Oryzias latipes: one gene and its partner. The protein of the gene in region 2 interacts with the protein of the main gene of each other region in a pairwise test. Links are inferred from orthologs where the notes say so. Each region holds a gene or a part of one and is shown on either strand. Other genes may lie near its edges.

Evidence for each region.
Region 1: the proteins of txlna (region 2) and ccdc146 interact in binary tests that used the Homo sapiens proteins (3 or more experiments, as listed by UniProt). The link is inferred for Oryzias latipes from reciprocal best matches to the Homo sapiens genes TXLNA and CCDC146.

What each region holds. Positions count from the first base shown.
Region 1 is NC_019881.2:12,668,176-12,671,986, reverse strand, and holds part of ccdc146 (coiled-coil domain-containing protein 146), read right to left. Parts: intron 2,471-3,811; coding exon 2,360-2,470; intron 2,259-2,359; coding exon 2,121-2,258; intron 192-2,120; coding exon 66-191; intron 1-65. UniProt on the Homo sapiens protein: Essential for sperm flagellum biogenesis and male fertility.
Region 2 is NC_019869.2:26,641,423-26,645,233, reverse strand, and holds the end of txlna (alpha-taxilin), read right to left. Parts: intron 2,753-3,811; coding exon 2,582-2,752; intron 2,518-2,581; coding exon 2,323-2,517; intron 2,240-2,322; coding exon 2,120-2,239; intron 2,035-2,119; coding exon 1,960-2,034; intron 1,889-1,959; coding exon 1,796-1,888; intron 1,723-1,795; coding exon 1,627-1,722; intron 1,519-1,626; coding exon 1,222-1,518; 3' UTR 259-1,221; downstream 1-258. UniProt on the Homo sapiens protein: May be involved in intracellular vesicle traffic and potentially in calcium-dependent exocytosis in neuroendocrine cells.

The DNA of each region.
Region 1 (3,811 bases), on a different chromosome or scaffold from region 2:
AAGACGGTGAGGGTTTGAGGGAAGCAGGAGGACTTTTGTTCGGCACGGTGATGTGGATCTCTGACCTGGACTTCCTTCTCTTTGATCTGCTGCTGCTCACACGAAGCATCAGCCTGCTTGACGGACAGTTCTGCAGAAACCGCCATTATGCGCTGGTTGGTGTCGATCAGATGAGTCCGGACTTCATTCAGCTAGAAACAAGAAACAAAAAGACGAGTATTGATTAGAAAAGCCTTTCATGGTCTACGCATTCAGTCCATAGATGAGGTGCAAGAAGGAACATGACCACACAGGATCATTTCTTTTTAGAAAGGGCAGCATCTCTAACTCTGCGTATTCAGATTTTGGATAGAAATGAAATATTATTTATTTGTGACGTTTTGCTAACATGGAATTACCACATGTTGCAGTTCCTTAAATGACCACTAGTGGCAGGTATCAGAAGGGAGCAATTACCCACCAAGTCCTTTGTTACTAGATCAAAGTTCACACCCACTTTATATATTTTACATTATTTACTTATATTTGAGTAATAATATTTTTGCACCTTGACAGAAAACTCAAACTATCAGATGATCTATTAAAATTTGCCCTCTAAATGCCCCCACTTTTATCACTTCACATAATATTACAAGTTCTCTAAAATAAAAAAAGGGGAGGGGGGATACATTTTTTATTTGTATGTTTTACAAATATTTTGCTTTTGTATTTTACCATTATGACATTCCTTTAAGTAAACAGGAATGAATATAAAGTAGACACATATTATATATGTATATAAAAATTTGCAGACTCACACACACCTGCAGACACACAGATGCAGACACAAACACACACACACACCTGCAGACACACAGATGCAGACACAAACACACGCACACACCTGCAGACACACACCTGCAGACACAAACACACCCCTACCTGCAGACACACAGATGCAGACACATACACACAAACACACACCTGCAGACACACAGATGCAGACACAAACACACCCCTACCTGACAGACACACACACACACACCTGAACTAGGGCTGCACGATATGAGGAAAACTTGCGATATGCGATATTAGTGATCAATATTGCGATAACGATAAATCTGCGGTAAATAAACAAATAGAAAAATAAACAAAAACATCATTCCCATTTCATTGCAACAGTTTAAAAATTATACTCCAAATGACCCTCATCGACATGGGGGACAAACGTCAGGGTGGCTAACCCTGGTCCTGAAGAGCCTCAACCCTGTCTGTTTTCCAATTCTCCCTAGACTGCTCGATAATGATAACCAAAATCAGGTATGTTCAGTCAATCAGGATGTGAAATCACTTGAGTCAGCCAATCAACAGCAAGCTGGTTAAGGAGAGCTGGAAAACAGGCAGGGTTGAGGCTCTTCAGGACCAGGGTTAACATAATAGGCCTCCATCTGATTGGTCAACAATGGGAAGGCGTCCATCTGATTGGTCAAAGCATAAAGGGATTTATTTGATTCGTTAAATGCTTCAAGCTGCTAGAAGATTGTTTTAACACATTTTGGGTTTGCGATTTATTGCGATATTCGCCGTCTTTTGCGATATGCATATTGCAGAGCTGGATATTGCGATAACGATAAATTTGCGGTATATTGTGCAGGCCTAACCTGAACCCTCAAAGACACAAACACCTGTAGACAGACTCATCTGCGAACACACCTTGGCACTAGCACACACACTTGCAGACGCACACCTACTTGCAAATGCACATACCACTAAATACACACACCTGCAGACTCACAGCTGCAAACACACACACACACACACACCTTTACACTTGGAGATGTACACAAATATACCTGCAGACACACACATAATACCTCTAAATAAACAAACCTGCAAACACACAGTTGCAAACACACACACACACACACACACACCTCCAGACACAAAGCTGTAAACACACCTTCACACCTGCAGATGCGCACACATACCTGCAAATAAACATGCCTCTAAATACACAAACACACTTTCACACCTGCAGACACACAGCTGCAAACATACACCCCTGCTTACAAACACACAGTTGTGTGTGTGTGTGTGTGCATGAGTCCCAGCCTCTGCTCTCTTCCTAGATGGATCTGTACCCTCTTCGCCAGCGAGAGGCTGTCCTGCTGGTAGTTCTCAGCCTGCTCCCCAAGCGGCTTCGTCAGCCGGGTCACCTGCTCCACCAGGAGTTCTTTTTCCAGCAACTGCCTCTCACGCTCCGCTAGATTTCCCTCGAGCTGCGTGCACAAACACACAAACACACACATATGCACAGAGCAGCTGTAAGAGTTCCAACAGAACTTTGTAAAACCTTCCCGGCAGAAAAATGTCAAAATACCTGCTCCATTTTCTTAACCAGCTCCACAGATGAGGGGACTTTGCTCTTCAGCTCTGTGAAATCAGCCTCTCGATTCACACTTTCTAAAGTCTTGTCGCTGGCTTCTGACAACTGGCAGACACCGAAATAAAAAGAGAAAAAGGAAATCTCTCAACACATTCATATACAACTAGACAAAAGGGGGTATACTGTTTAAAGATTATGTTGAAGTCTAAAAAAGGGAGTCCTTTCCTGTGAGCATTTAAGATACTTGGTACCCTGGGATTTAAAGAAAAAGCAAAAACCTTCTTAGTTATATGTAGAGCAAAGATGGGACATGTCACTGGCAAAATGCGATAAGAGAAACGGAAATTTCAGAAGCCATGAGTTCCCTCAGGAACCAAGTTCTTTTTTTTCTGACAACCCTTAAGGCAGCAGAAATAGAAGGGGAAGCAGGGGAAGACGAGGGAGCACAAAGAAGATGAGTCAAAAGGATGAAGAGACTAAAAGCAAGGCAGTGAAAGAGCCGAGCAGGGGGCGGTTCAGACTCACGCCTTTATCTGACACCCTTCTTCTGAAAGACAAAAAAAAGGAAGGAAGGAAGCTGGTGGAAGACAAGAAGAGCTGACATGACACATGGATTTACCACTTAGATGCTACAAATCAAAACTTTTGACCGCTTGTTTGTTTTTTGCATCTTTGAACGCTGGATTTAAACGACAATTCAACAACTAAAAAAGGATGATAGATAATTTTCTGTTTAAAATAACAGCATAGAATACACTTGTATTAAATAAAATGAAATTTACATTTTTTATTAATACTAACTTTGAAACGTAAATTAATTAGTCATAAAAATTAGAAATTAAAAAGCAAATATATAAAGAGAGAAAAACATACCGGTAAGTCATTTTTCAGTCAGAGAACATGCAGTAAAGAAGATCTATTTCCATATTTCGTAGTTTGGCATAAGGCTCCGTTCAGATACATAAATCAAAGATCTCCATAGAAAACTTTGGGTATTAAACTACCCCTAATGGAGCTCACAGGTGGAAGGGTGGAGTGGGGTGACAAACGCAGAGCTCGAGGAAATGGAGGAGAAGGAATGGAGCGCACACCACAGGACGCTGAACAGGTGAGTTATTTAAACTGAACCGCCCTCAGGGAGGAGTAACCAGGTAAACCCACTGCTAGAGTTGCCTGCCTGAAATACTCCCAGGGTCCTTCATTTATTAAAACAATGCGACTTTTTAGGAAAAATTACTTCTGAAAATCTGAAGGTAAATGCAATTTTTCTTTGAGATTAAAGACAAATTGTTGGAAATTTGGAGCGCATTTGTGAGGTAGAAAATACACTGGGTGTGCCCCGAGCTCCTTGCTCTGCTCCATTCTGATGCATCCACCACTTGTATACTCTGTACTAAAAGACGCACTTAAAAGCGTTAATGTTTTTCAAAAAAAGCTTTTAAGTTG
Region 2 (3,811 bases):
TTACAGTCAATGGGGCGGCCCCCAATGAGCTCACAGAACCCCCTCCACCAAAGACCAAAGAGTTCAAAAAACAAAACAGCAGTTGTTCAATACTTTTTTCCATTTGATAAGTTTTACTGTTTTTTTATTTTAATTTTCAGTGTTTCTTCAATTTTAAAATACATTTTTTTCGTTCATTTTCAATATTTCGTTTAAGTTTTGCATCCTTTTTGTAGAGGTGATCAAATGTTTGACATAGTGAGTAAAAGAACCCAAGAGTCTCCTCAACACATTAGAGTTTTATTCAGCAGGAAACATCCAGGAGCAGACAAAAACAGACGGGGGGAGGATCTTTGGTTCCTTCAGACCAATAAACCGGGGCACAACAGAGGAAATGAACTTTAGCTTTTGAATTTTAGTATTCATCATTTTAACAAAGAAGCAGAAAAAAGTTTAAAAAGAAAAAAGAAAGGGTTGGAGAAAAAAGTCCAAAAGAATCTGAAGTTTCTCTATTTTCCGTTCGGCTGTGAACATTTTTAAAATCATGGCAGACGCCAAACATTCCCTTAAAGTCAACAGAGATCCAACCGGGAAACAGAATTACATTCTCGTCAAAGTGCTTCAGACCGCCGCACACGACAGCAGGAAGCGAGCGTTGCATAGAAGTGCCGGAACATTCTTCTGCTAAAACCTGATCTGAGCTTCTGCGGACCAGGAGACAATCCCAGAGTCTGACTTCAGCCAGAAGCCCCGCGGCCCCCAGCAGGGGTGAAGCCCCGCGGCCCCCAGCAGGGGTGAAGCCCCAACGCCCCCCCAGCAGGGGTGAAGCCCCGCGGCCCCCAGCAGAGGTTGAGATGAGTCTGTGGGAAACGGCCTTCATCACTCCCCCTGACCCAGAACACTGCTGCCTAAAGACCAGTTAGTCTCTGTTGAGACTGGGTCTGACGCTAAACTACGTCCCACACTGCGGCTGACGCGCTGCAGGACCGCCCTTCCACGCCGCAGACTACAACATCAGAACGCGGCAGAAGTGACAACCAGCAAGAGGTGGAAATCAGATTATTGCAGGAAATGGGATTATTGCAACATTTGAAGTGCTTTGGAGAAGCGGTCTGCAGAGACGGACACCTGTTGGACCCGCCGGCCGTTCTGCTCCGTCTGTCCCGTTTCTTCCAGCGGCGTGTGAAGGAGGAGCAGCAGCTGTGGGGGGGGGGGCTGCTGCTGCTGCAGGAGCCCGAGGCTTCATTCCTGAGCCAGGGCAGCAGCGCTTGCTTCTTGGAGGGGGGCGTTGGGCTCCGGCTCACACTGGCAGGGGCGGGAGCAGGAGGCGGGCTCCAGCAGAGAGTCTGTGGGGGGTGGGGACGGGGAGTCGGTCCCCGGGTCGGCGCCTGGAGCCCCCGTGGCGCTGGATGGCTCCCCACACAGGCCCTGGACCTTCTTGTTTAGCTCGTTTCGCTCCACCTTCAGCGCTCGCCGCAGCTTCTCCAGCCGCTGGACTTTGAGCTGCAGCGCCTCGAAGTCTCGATCCCGCAGCGACTTCTGCATGCATGCACACGCACACACACACGCACACACACACACGGCATGTGTTTTGGGGGCTTTTCCAGACAGCACGTCTTCTTTGGAGAAGCACAGACAGCAGCTCACCTCCTCAGCCATCTCCAGCAGAGCCTTGTTGCTGCTCTCCCATCTGGAGCGGTACATGGCCGTCTCCTTCTCCAGCTTCTTGATCTTTTTGGTCATCTGAACACAGAAAAGTGTTGCTGGAGCAGCTTGAGCCACATTTCAAGAGTGGGCGGAGCCTCCAGGGCCTCACCTTCTCCATCTCCTGCTTGAAGGTGGTGAAGACTTCATTGCTCTTGGACAGCGTGGTCTGAAACTCCTCAAACTTCTCCGTGTACAGCGACAGCTGAGAAGAGAAAGAAAAGATTCAGGGAAAGCAGAGAAGACACGGAGCTGAGGGGGGAGAAGGAGGACAACCTGCTGCTTGAGGTGAACCTCCTGCTGTTTCATCAGCTCACACATCCTCTGGGACTCGATGGCTTCCTTCAGCAGCTGTCCGGGGAAAAACCAAATAACATTTGTGTCCCAGGACCCCGTGAACAGCACTCTGGGGTGTTTGGGTAAAAAACATCCTTACGAAGTCCTTCTCCCTCTCGTGCCGCTCCTCAGACTCCTTCAGCAGCTCCTGCGCCTGGTGCAGCTTTGCGTCCACCAGCTGCTGCTGCAGGTCTTTGTGCTTCACCACTTTGTCTATGTGCTGGTTGGGGGAGGGCACAGTTGGAAATGAAGCCTCCCTGACTGACAGCAGACTGAACCCCGCGGGGCAGGACCAGGACTTACCTCTTCCCTCAGCTTGTACTGCTCGTAGAGTTTCTTGAGCTTCTCGGCCAGCTCTGCGTTCTCCTGCCGCAGGCTGGCGTTTCTCTCGTTGTGCTGCTCCATCTGAGCCTGGATGTCGTTCAGCGTCACCTGGAAATGAGACGTCACCTCCTTCCTCTTCTCCTCCTCCAGCCGGGTTCTCTGTATGCCCTCTTCCTGCAGAGACAGTCACTGTTCCAGCTGGCTGCTCAGCAGCATCACAGCGCTGTGGGCTCCTCACCTTCAGGGTGCGGTTGTGTCTCTGCAGCTCCCGGCACAGGCTCTCCAGCTTGCTGCGGGCCAGGATGGCCTTGCTGTGCTCGTTCCTCAGGTTGTCCTTGTCCTGGACCAGCTGGCTCTGCTTCTTCTGCAGGACTCGCATCTGTTTTTGGGTGTTCCGGTGTTCTTCCAGCTGGAAAACAGACAGGTTTCGGTCATCACACGGACTGTTCCACTGTGCTGGAAAGACCGACATTTTGGAACTGAGGCGACTTCAGGCCATGATGCTGACAGACTAGAAAAAACCACACCGTATCATCATGACCATAAGGCACACTTAAAAGTCTTATATTTTCTCCAAAATGTACGGAGCGCCCTATGGTGCGGTGCGTCTCATGTGTTGTTGTGTGACTTTGGTAAAGAGGACGTAGGAGAGGACAGCATGACAACGGTGAGGAAAGAAGTGAGGACGTGAAAGAAGACACCCCCCAAATAGTACTAAAGTGCAGGTATGTGCACTAAGCAGAACAACATTGTTTGGAAAGCCTGAATATGCTGCACAGAGACACAATAATGAAGCACAGTTAAACTGCAAGCTATCAGCTACACAGAGGAACATGGGAATCGAGCAGCTGCAGAGAATTTAAGATGAATGAATCCATGGTTCACAAGTGGAGGAAGCTGGAAAACAAACTCCAACAATCAAGATGACACAGCTGAGTTTCCGTGGAAACAAGGCGTGGCGGCCCAAGTTGGAAGAGTGACTGGAGCGATGGACTAAGTGTCTCTACAGTCACCATTCCACTGAAGGCAGAGATGAAAATTGAACATTTTCATGGAGGCCCATCGTGGTGCTTTCGTTTTATGAAACGCCGTCATCTTTCCATCAGGGCAACGACTACAGTGGGGCAGTAGTGAATAACAATGAAAAGCTGTTCATCTTCTGCTCCTATTGCAGCGAAAAGATCACCGACAAACACATCCAGCCACATGGACGAGGTGCCGCTCACTTTTGACTTCCCGGTGAGTCACACTGTCCAATGGTGGACACAGTTTTACTGAGACTGGGAGGCAGCGCCGGGCGAGTTACGCCACAGTTTGTGAATGGATTGTAGATTCTTGGGCTAACATGTCTGCTTGCACTGTTCTTTGAGGTTTCACAAAGCCGGCATCATTGATGAAGAGCCACATGGCAACGAGACGGACTCTGACGATGACCAAAGGGAACCTGGTGTGTTTGTTAGAAACTTAG